2 linked regions of the Schizosaccharomyces pombe genome follow. The protein of the gene in region 2 interacts with the protein of the main gene of each other region in a pairwise test. Each region holds a gene or a part of one and is shown on either strand. Other genes may lie near its edges. The genes, in order: rpn2 and rpn1301.

Region 1 (5,925 bases), 890 kb from region 2:
CATTTTCCATTATGCGCCAAACATTTACATGAAGTACTTAAGCGTGATAAGCATCTACGGCATTTTGGCCGTCTTCAATATGGGCTATTTTTAAAAGTATGAAACTTATTTTTTATGTAGTAATTTACTAATTTTTCAGGATATTGGCCTTTCTGTCGACGAAGCTTTGGTCTTTTGGAGGAAAAGTTTTACAAATGTAACAGAAGACAAATTTAACAAAGAATATCGCTACAATATTAGACATACTTATGGACTTGAAGGAAATAGGAAAAATTACAAGGGTTATAATTGCCAGCAGATCCTTACAGGGCCTCAACTTGGTCCTGGAGATGCCCACGGTTGTCCTTATCGTACATATTCAGTAAATAATCTAGTGTCAGCATTGGCTTCCATGGGAATAGCACCGGATTCTGCCGGATGCCGTGAAGTTGTTGAGGCAGTTAAAGCGAGGCATTATCATATTGCGTGTACGCGTGTTTTTGAGCTTACTCATCCAAATGTCGGTTCGCTGGAGGAGAGCATTCACCATCCCTTACAATATTTTCAACTTAGTTTAGAATCATAAGCTAAGATACTTTTAGTTCACGATTATCATAACACATTTCAATTTTTGTACAATAGGTATTGAACACTTTCAAAATACATTTCATAGCTATAATTCAAAAATCTAATTACCGGCAGGCTGGTTATATAGATGAATAAGCATTGTTACTAATAAAAGGCAATAATACCAAATCAACGTAAAAAACATGATATTTAATTTAAAAAACGTAATTGAAAACTTTTTAAATTTATCATCAAAATGAAATTGTCTAGCAATCTTCCGAACACTCAGTTCCGTAGAATAAATACGTTAACTTCAAACTACAAGTCTATTAACATATGAAAACGTTTGTATTTAATCTGAAGAGATGCAAGTAACAATCAAGATGTTCTTACAAACGTATATGGTTTTTTGAGACTAGCAGGATGTACTTCTGGGAATCTAATCATCATCATCAAATGGGTATTCAAAATCTTCAGGAGGAGAGGCCTCCTGTTCACCAGGCTCTGTATCTGCACTAGCAGGTACAGCGTCTCTATTCAGTTCAATTAAATCTGGAGCTTTATCAGACTCACGATCGATAAGCATAAGAACACCACCGGTAAATTTGCGAACCGGATAATAACGGCCATTAAGGTTAAATGAAATATATGGAAGCTGAGCAGGAACAACCCGCGTGAAGTTCTCTAAAGTTTCAGACTTAGGTTCTTCTTTTTTAGAGTTGCCGTTGATGCTTATATCCTGACTTTTTTCTTCATCCATTTCCATCGGAGTGGCCTCTTTCTCTTCAGTTGTCTTTTTGTCGATTTTCATTTCGTCATCATTTGAACCTTTACTGGCTTTTTCACGTTCAGCACGCTTGGCACGTGCTTGAGCTTTGACTGTAGTAGAGAGCACGGCAGTTTCAACTTTTTGGACCGTTTTAGCAGTGGGTTGTACGGACTTTGGAGGATAGGCAAACAGTTTAGGACGAACATTTGAAATAAAAGAAAATTTGGGTGCATTCAAGTTTTTATCCAGACCTATCAGCGCAGTAGGTGAGAAGGAAAGAGACATAAAATGCGTGAGTGGAAACCAGTACCAATATTGAAGAAAAACAGTTAATCCAACAATTGCAGACAATTTCAAACTACCAGTAGCTGTCTGAAGAGCAATAGTAACGTTACGACCGCCGGCATCAATAATACCTTGAGCCAATGTTGCGCCCAATTTAGCAAGCGCGTCTTCATGTTTTTCGTTGATGACTTGTTCAAAATGTTTTCGAATTCCAGAAACCTTACTATTCAATTGATCGTTGTGTTGAGTGAGAATCATTGCTTGAGCAATCATGGCACCTTGGCGAACAAAATCCGTTGCATCTTCAACAAGGCGGCTCAATAAATCTAGTGCAGCATTGGACCCCGAGTTTGCACAGGCAATTCCTAAAGCGATTGCACTACCATATCTAACATGAGGGTTATAACTATCAACGAGCAGCTCAACCGTTGAAATCAGAGCGTTAGGATCCTTGAAACAGATAAAACCTAAAGCACAAACTGCAGCACGACGAACATCATCATTGACATCACTAACTGAGATATGAAGTACGTCTCTAACTATTTTGCTATTGCTTGTACCACAATAAGCCAAAGCGGTAGCGAACATGCCTGCATAACGGAGAGTAGGGTCCAAATCATTATTCAGTTCTTTAATTATACCGTCAGCTTCTTGCTGACGTCCATAAACAATTAATGCAATACCGATGCCCAAACCTCGAATAATCTTCTCATGCTGCGTCTCATGTGCATACTGCAACATTTCATCAATGGCGGCAGAAGAAGCTGTACCAAGCATTATGAGACCCATGGATATACCAGCGGCAGACCCAGCCACGGCATTATCGTTAAAAAGGATAGTCTTAACAGATTCATAAAGGGTTTCGTCCCTACTAGCCATGCCCGTTAGGCCAATTCCAAGTAAGAGACCATACTGAACAATCTCATCTTCGGTATGTTTCAGTTGTTCGCGCAGATACTCAGTAACACCTCTTCCATGATTAGCATGAATCAACCCCATGGCATAGAAAGCACCACCTTCAGAATAAGTAGAGCTTGATGGCGCATCTTCTTCCGGCAGATAAGGACGAAGAATGTTCATAGCTTGATTATAATATCCTCGATGGATGACACCCAATGCAGCTGTTGCAGTAAATTTTGACCAGTTGTTGGCCTTGGATAACCAGGAAAGGTTGTCGCGGAAGAAACTATCCGAGGAAGTACCGAAGTTCATGAACGCATTGGCGAACGTAACTGCATTATGAAAAACCGAGTTCCTGGCTTCTAAAGAATCTTTCGTCCTGTTCAGAATAAGCATATCCGTATTGTTATGTGCATATAAAAATTCACGGTCATATTTAACGGTTTGTTCACCAGACAAAATTCGAATAATATAACCACAAGGAGAAGAATCCTCCTTTTTCGAATCAGCGTTAGCGTCCTCTTCGGAATTGGCCACAGAGGGAGAAGGAAGCAAATCCATCACACTATTTAAAAACTCTTGTGGAGCCGAATCTTCAAGATCAAAGGCTAATTGATACGCTGTCAATAAGCTTTTGTCATCGTTTTGAGAAGATAGTTTCATTAAAAGTTTGGCTGCAACAGAGGCATCGTTCAAATGAACAACGCATTTTCCAACTGAGAAATAATCAGGTTCTGTTTCTGTCAGAAAAGAACTTAGTAATAGACGAAGTAAGCGGTTTCGGAATTCAATGTCTAAAACAACAGTCATTGCAAGTTCCAGTACATAAGGCTTTAAATCTGTCTCTTTGTCTGCATTTAAAATGTATTCAATAATGTCAAGTCGATGAGCCTCGATAGCAATTCCCAAAACATGTCTCCATTCGTTTTTAGCATAACATTTTTGAAAAATGCCCTCGACTACGCCACTTAGTCTCTCGTCCAAGGGGTCAGCCTTTGGATTTTTGTACAACTCTGCACTTTTATGAATAAACATATCAATACATTTGAAAATTAGTGTTTCTTTGTAATCACTATTTTTGTCATGCAAAAACTTTGGACCACTTGACAAGGCAAACAAAAGAGCCTCATCATATTCTCCAAGGTAATAATAAACTTTTGAGACTACCAAGGCTGCTAATTCGCGTTCAGGAAATGAATGGTCCTCATACATAACCTCAATTTTCGTAACATCATCCGATATTTCCGGCCATAATTGATCAATAAACTCATAAATTTTTAGTAAAGCATGTACTTGTAATTCTCGCTCTTGCTCGTCCAGCAGGGCCATCAAACCACCTATCAAAAGGATTAGTGAACATGATTTCTACATTTTTTCATTGTTTAACGCTCGACGTACCTGCTGACGTTATAATAGAGGTGTTATCAGAGTACACCATAGTCATTTCGACGAAACTAGACCTGTTTATTTAAATCTTACAAACTATATAACAGCAGGTGGTGTTTCGTTGTTGGTAAATACCCTGAACCGTTGTGCTTCATTCCACCAACACATTCGGTAAGGGTAGGGCACTTGTACCAATAAATGTTTCAGGTATATTAAATGTAATGCTATATCATGTTATCCACACCACACCACCTAAATAATATTCAGTATTATCGAAAAAAGTCAAATTGTATGTTTCATCAACTATGTAAGATATCTCAACCCAATGAGGGATTTATATGAGTATCGTATCAAAATGAACGAACTAAGTAAAGCTATTCTGATCGTTCTATAATATGATTCTCATTGCCTTCTTATCATTCGCTTTTAGTATCGATAAATTTATAGTCTTTAGCTTAACAAAGTAGCTAATTTTTGTCGAATTTTTTTTTTAAAGCATTATAGTTGTTTGACTTCACAGTTATACTTTCATTAGTATTTTTTGATAGTATATATTACGCTGGGATCATTCGTTTAACTTGCAGTACGTATCAATGCCTAGTACAATATTACTTTACAAATACAATGTAATATAACAATTATCATGGTTCAGTAGCTTTGCAAATGAACTGTTTGATCAAGAAAATTTAATGTATTTCATAATTTTTCTCGAAGTCAATTCTATCAGTAATGAAATAACTAAGCCACATGGATGCGTCCAGAAATGATATCGAGGCCTTCCCATGCCACAATGTTTTTGGCTTTATTAAAACCACTGTTTTTTATTGCTGGCATGTTAATTGAATGGACATTTTTCGATGTCGTCAAACTGGAAGCAAACAGAAGCTAAAGTAACCCGAAATGTATTTTGTTAAAACATAACTATCTTAACTCTAAATAGATATAAAAAATTCTGTGTTTCACGCATACAATGATATTAATGTATATGTAATGATACCTTAACGGAAGCGCTGAGTACGGGATCAAAGGTCAATCAACAAAAAAGGGTGAAGCAATTGTACGCAGTCGCTTCTTTTAATTTACTAAAAAATTATTGAATAGGAAAAAAATTACAAATATAATAAAACAATTCTTCATTTTTGCGTTTTCGCTTTGCAGCCGGTATTCGCTGTTTGCTTTGTATTGAATATACATCATAAGTGGGGCGCTTACTTACTTTATCCCAATATCCACACTTCGCGCACAATGACAGATTTACGTAGAAATAGGTATTCAATATCTGCTGGCGTTGGAAAATCAGTACTTGATTCACTTGGCAAATTCTACGGATCGCCCAAAAGACAACTGCCTAACAAATTTGAAGCGGGAAAAGAATATACTGGATACAATGCACCGTGGATTCCATTTGCCTTGGATTGGTTAAAACAAGGAAAATATTCTAGTGAATGGATTGCTATGGGAAGTTTGAATGAAGAACCAAATAATATGGTATGCTAATTGCAAAACCAGGGGAAATATTATATAATTTTATCTGTGCTTCTTTTGGCATAGACTCCAAAGATGTACTCTGTTCTACGAAGTTACTAACCAAAAAATTGTTTAGATACAATTGTTAAAACTAATAACTGGGGATGATGGAAATTCTCACTTGGAAAAGGCGCAAGCAGCAACTGATCTTGAATACCCAGTTACGAAGTTGTTATGGAATCCTTCATCGGTTGGTTCTAACACCGACTCCCAGTTGCTAGCTTCTACGGATCAGCAATTGCGATTATGGAAAACCGATTTTGAAGCGGGGATTGATTCTCCTTTGTTATGTCAAGCCTCTTTATCTACCGTATGATTTTCTTTTTTCTTCTTGGCGACTAATGTTATAGCATGTAAAAACTCATAATAATGCTCCTCTAACTTCGTTTGATTGGTGCAAAACTGATCCTTCATATATCGTAGTGAGTAGCCTTGATACCACTTGCACAGTTTGGGACATTGTAGCCCAGCAATCAAAAACACAATTAATTGCTCACGACAAAGAAGTTTAT
Region 2 (4,009 bases):
GCAGTTAAGCGTCTGAGGGCCTCGTTAGTACTATGGTTGGAGACAACATGGGAATCCGGGGTGCTGTAGGCTCCTTCTTTATTATTGCTATTTAATTACTACTATTTTGTTTGAGTTGACTATCCGCATACATTGTTTATATGATTTTTTTTCATGCAAATGAAGACAAGCAGATAGACGTTATAAAGCGATTATGATTGTAATGAGCAAGTCTAAATTTGCTCAAGAGAAAGAATGTAACAAGCCATAGCTCAAAAAAGCAATTACATTTACTACGCTTTATTTTTTTAACAATATATATTACTAAATGTAACGGATGACACCGAGGTCGGGTAGCGTAGTTGGTTATTGCGCACGACTGTTAATCGTGAGGTCGAGGGTTCGAGTCCCTCCCTGACCGTTTTATGACCACTTTTTTGGCTGTTTACAAAAGTAAAATCGTTAGATTTGAAATTCAATGATATTGCGCAAAAATTGAATGTGACTACACGTCAATACTTTAACCATTTACAGTTGGCTACTTTCTAGCTTTAGTAAATCATTTCAATACTGTTCAACTTTCTAACTTATTAAGAATAGATGTTGGTATTATGTATTTGACATTACATATCCTACATTTTACCAACTGTTTTGGAAATAAAACATATTTTGTAAAACAACAATAATCAATATAAAGCATAAATAATAATGAAGTATGAAGTAGAGATACTTCGGGAGTGCAACTTCTCATTTTTAGTCGTCCTAATGTAATTCATCCTTGGCGCTCGCAGTTCATATTCATGAACATACATTGCATTTATAAATCTTAAGTGTTTAGGAAAGATAAGCATTGTATGCAAGAAAAATAAAGATTGCCTATTTCCTAAAACAAATATTTCATATATGAGAAAAAATGAAACTGTACCAATAAACATTCTGTAAAGAGCATTTTGAGCGAGCAACATTGTATTGTGTACTCCAACTTACTCTTACTCATTTTGGTAAGAGGACAAATCCTACCATGAAAGCATTTTAATTCCTCCATATTTATTTAAAAAAAAAAAAAAGAACGCCAGTAATGCTCAATTTAAAAACTTTTAATACGAATCGTCAGTGAATTATAAAGAAACGATTCAACGGATAATATTTTAAATAGAAATTTTTGATATACGACGAATTACTTAATCGAAGACATTACTCAGAACCATTATTCCTGCTCACGAAGCGAGCAATTGCTTTAAGAAATTGCAGAGCACCTCCCTCATTAGGATTGGCAGATTCGTCGAGTGAGAGACCAAGTGCTGAAATAATGTTTACACCACCAGGAGAATTTAAAGCTTGAGAAAAGCTTCTCAAAGCTTGAGCATATTGAGGACTACTAACAATAGCCAAAACCCCCTCCAAATTATTTGGGGTATCAGGAGGCATGTAAGGCATGAGTCGATCAATAACACCTTCTTGGCATAAAAGATCGGTTAAATTCGAAGGTTTGAGGATTTCGCAAAGATCGACTGTACTACCTCCAAATCCAGCCTGAGCAGAAATTGTAGCCAATAGATTCCTCACAGCTTCCGATGAATTAATTTCATCGCTGTTCGGGGCTCCAATCTCGGAGCTCTCTTTTGAAGATTCAGTTGGTTGAGCAATAGGTTCCGATTGCTCAACAGTATCCACTTCCATCATATCAGAAACCGTTGCAACATCAGAGCGGGCCGGATCTAATAAATCTTGATCCTTAATGTAGCTGTTAATTCTTTCAGCGTAAGAAGTATCGTTATCGTCTGAGGCTTCTTGCATCCAGTAAAATAGGCTATGAGCGCTAGAAGGATATTTGAGCATGTAAGCTCTCCCAGTGGTACATTCCGTAACTTTTTCAAATGTACACTCAGAAGAAAATACAATTATATCCTAAACTTGGTTAGTATCGACTAGAACTTTTAATGTGTTACAGGTGGTATTGAAAGTGATACTTACATCCTCGGGATTTTCAAGATCATTCCTTTTTGCCCATTGAAAATGAATTAATCCATAGGCGTCCCGATTCATGACTATATAACTGTGATTTGTTAGCTATCATACATAATATGCGAGCATACCCTTTTTCTGGGTCAGCACGTAAAAGCTTTGTTCCTGGAACTCTGCGAAGCTTTCCTGCTTTGAAAGTTATCAACGACATTATCCCAATCGCAAACTGCTTAAACTGCGAAATGCAAAAGACAGGTTGTATGTACTGTGTCGAAACCACGAAGCTCTAGCTTTCGTTGTAGTTCGTTGCGTTGTTTAACAATAACGTTTGATTACACTGCAAAAATCCTATCCTTGAAACAAACATAGCTTAATTTGGGTAGTATGATAGCTTCGAGGAAAAATAAATATAACTTATAAAATAAAATAATCAAATATTTAATAATGTTATGTAAATGATACCTTACTACGTTTGTGAGAAAGCGTAAATACAGCATATTTAGATTCTGAATTATCTTTGGCTGTCAATTAAGTAGTTATATTTCAGATCCTACGATTGCAATTGAGCGTTGAATTCGCTATTTATATTAGGTGAATTCTTAGTCAATACGATATTTAAAGGAAAAATATGTTAATTCCTATAACCCTTTAAGCCCTGAATCATAATGAAGTTGGTTCTTTAGGAATACCAAAAATTACTTGAACAGACAAATACTACATTAGCAATCCTTTCAACGTCCGTAAATGATAAACAATATGATTTCATTTAATTATACTAAATTGTAACTGGAAATGTTAGCATTGTCTTGTAACAAATCGGCTTTAGAAGAGTTCAATTGAATTACTGAAACAAGTCATTCAGCTAAGCTCTAAATTTCAACAATTCTTTTTTTAGAAGCTGAGGGTAGCGATAAGGACAGTAATAAAAAGTGCTTGGCAAAAAGCAACGCCAATTTTCGATGAACCGCTTTCAGAGGAGCTAGTCATGCCAGATGTATAACTAGTTGTACTAGTAACATTAGATGGTTTGTTTTTTGGCTTGGGACGTCGAGAGGTAGATTCATCATCGTCACCATCGTGAAAAGGAGACCACATATTCGTTGGACCTTCAATTCCCAAAGGTTCGCCAGCACCTTTTTCCATGTAAATTTTTGCACCTTCCGGCATTTCAGGTAATTTTTCCCATGCGTTAAATTGAGTAGAATTAGCAGGGCATTTACTTGGCGATCCGGCCTTTTTATAACCACCATCCCCTTTTGGATTTGGAGTTTTGGCATATTGCTTCATCAACGTTATAAAATTTCTCGACACTCTACGCTCGTCATCTTTGTCAATAACGACTAATCCATAATGATTAGGTTCGGCTGAATATTCGTAGACCAGACCACCAGAGAAAACTGGGGTCATATCGTGTGAATATATTGCTTCAATCTCCGTAAAAGGTCGGTTAGGAGTCGTATCGTCGTTTATTTCAACAGTATTGCAACCAAATTCTGACAAGAATAGCGGAATTGAATAGTTACTAAATTCCTTGATGCGATCATAATAACCTGAAACAGTCATACTTGAGTATCCACACCATTCATACATATTGAAAGCATAAAAATCTGCTCGTTCGCTCTCATCTCCACAATTAAAATAATGAGCTAGCTGTAAACGGTTTTCTGCTACATCGGCAGCAGAATAACCAACTGGAATATGCCGATCACTATGTTTCTTAATGTATGCCTTCACATCTCTAGTAACCGCTTTAACCCATGTAATAGCGGTAGTGTCTTCGTCATTTACTACTTCGTTGCCGGAGAAGAATCCTAGTACATTATCGTATCCTTTGAATGCGTCTATAGTAGCAAATAAATGTTGCAGATAAACTTTGTTGTAAGATAGAGCAGGATGAGCACGAGATATTGAATGCCTATAGGTGTTCAAATCCAAGATCACATAAATGCCTGCTTCACTTAACGCATTCATACACTTGTCATGGTCGGCTGAATTATCGACTTGGTAAACTCGAACCGTATTAATTCCGAGCTTCTTGAATATCTCAACATCTTTCTTACAAGAT

What was found.
Region 1: the proteins of rpn1301 (region 2) and rpn2 interact in a two-hybrid assay, tested with the Schizosaccharomyces pombe proteins (one large-scale study listed by BioGRID).

The regions. Positions count from the first base shown.
Region 1 is NC_003423.3:3,318,898-3,324,822, forward strand, and holds rpn2 (proteasome regulatory subunit Rpn2), read right to left. Parts: upstream 4,016-5,925; 5' UTR 3,945-4,015; coding exon 3,899-3,944; intron 3,838-3,898; coding exon 986-3,837; 3' UTR 736-985; downstream 1-735. Other genes in the region: DNA primase large subunit Spp2, read left to right, coding at 1-96, 140-565; dca7 (WD repeat-containing protein), read left to right, coding at 5,132-5,374, 5,490-5,723, 5,764-5,925. UniProt on the Schizosaccharomyces pombe protein: Acts as a regulatory subunit of the 26S proteasome which is involved in the ATP-dependent degradation of ubiquitinated proteins.
Region 2 is NC_003423.3:4,206,444-4,210,452, reverse strand, and holds rpn1301 (proteasome regulatory subunit rpn1301), read right to left. Parts: upstream 2,191-4,009; 5' UTR 2,156-2,190; coding exon 2,076-2,155; intron 2,036-2,075; coding exon 1,954-2,035; intron 1,888-1,953; coding exon 1,174-1,887; 3' UTR 552-1,173; downstream 1-551. Other genes in the region: 1,3-beta-glucanosyltransferase Gas4, read right to left, coding at 2,836-4,009. UniProt on the Schizosaccharomyces pombe protein: Component of the 26S proteasome, a multiprotein complex involved in the ATP-dependent degradation of ubiquitinated proteins.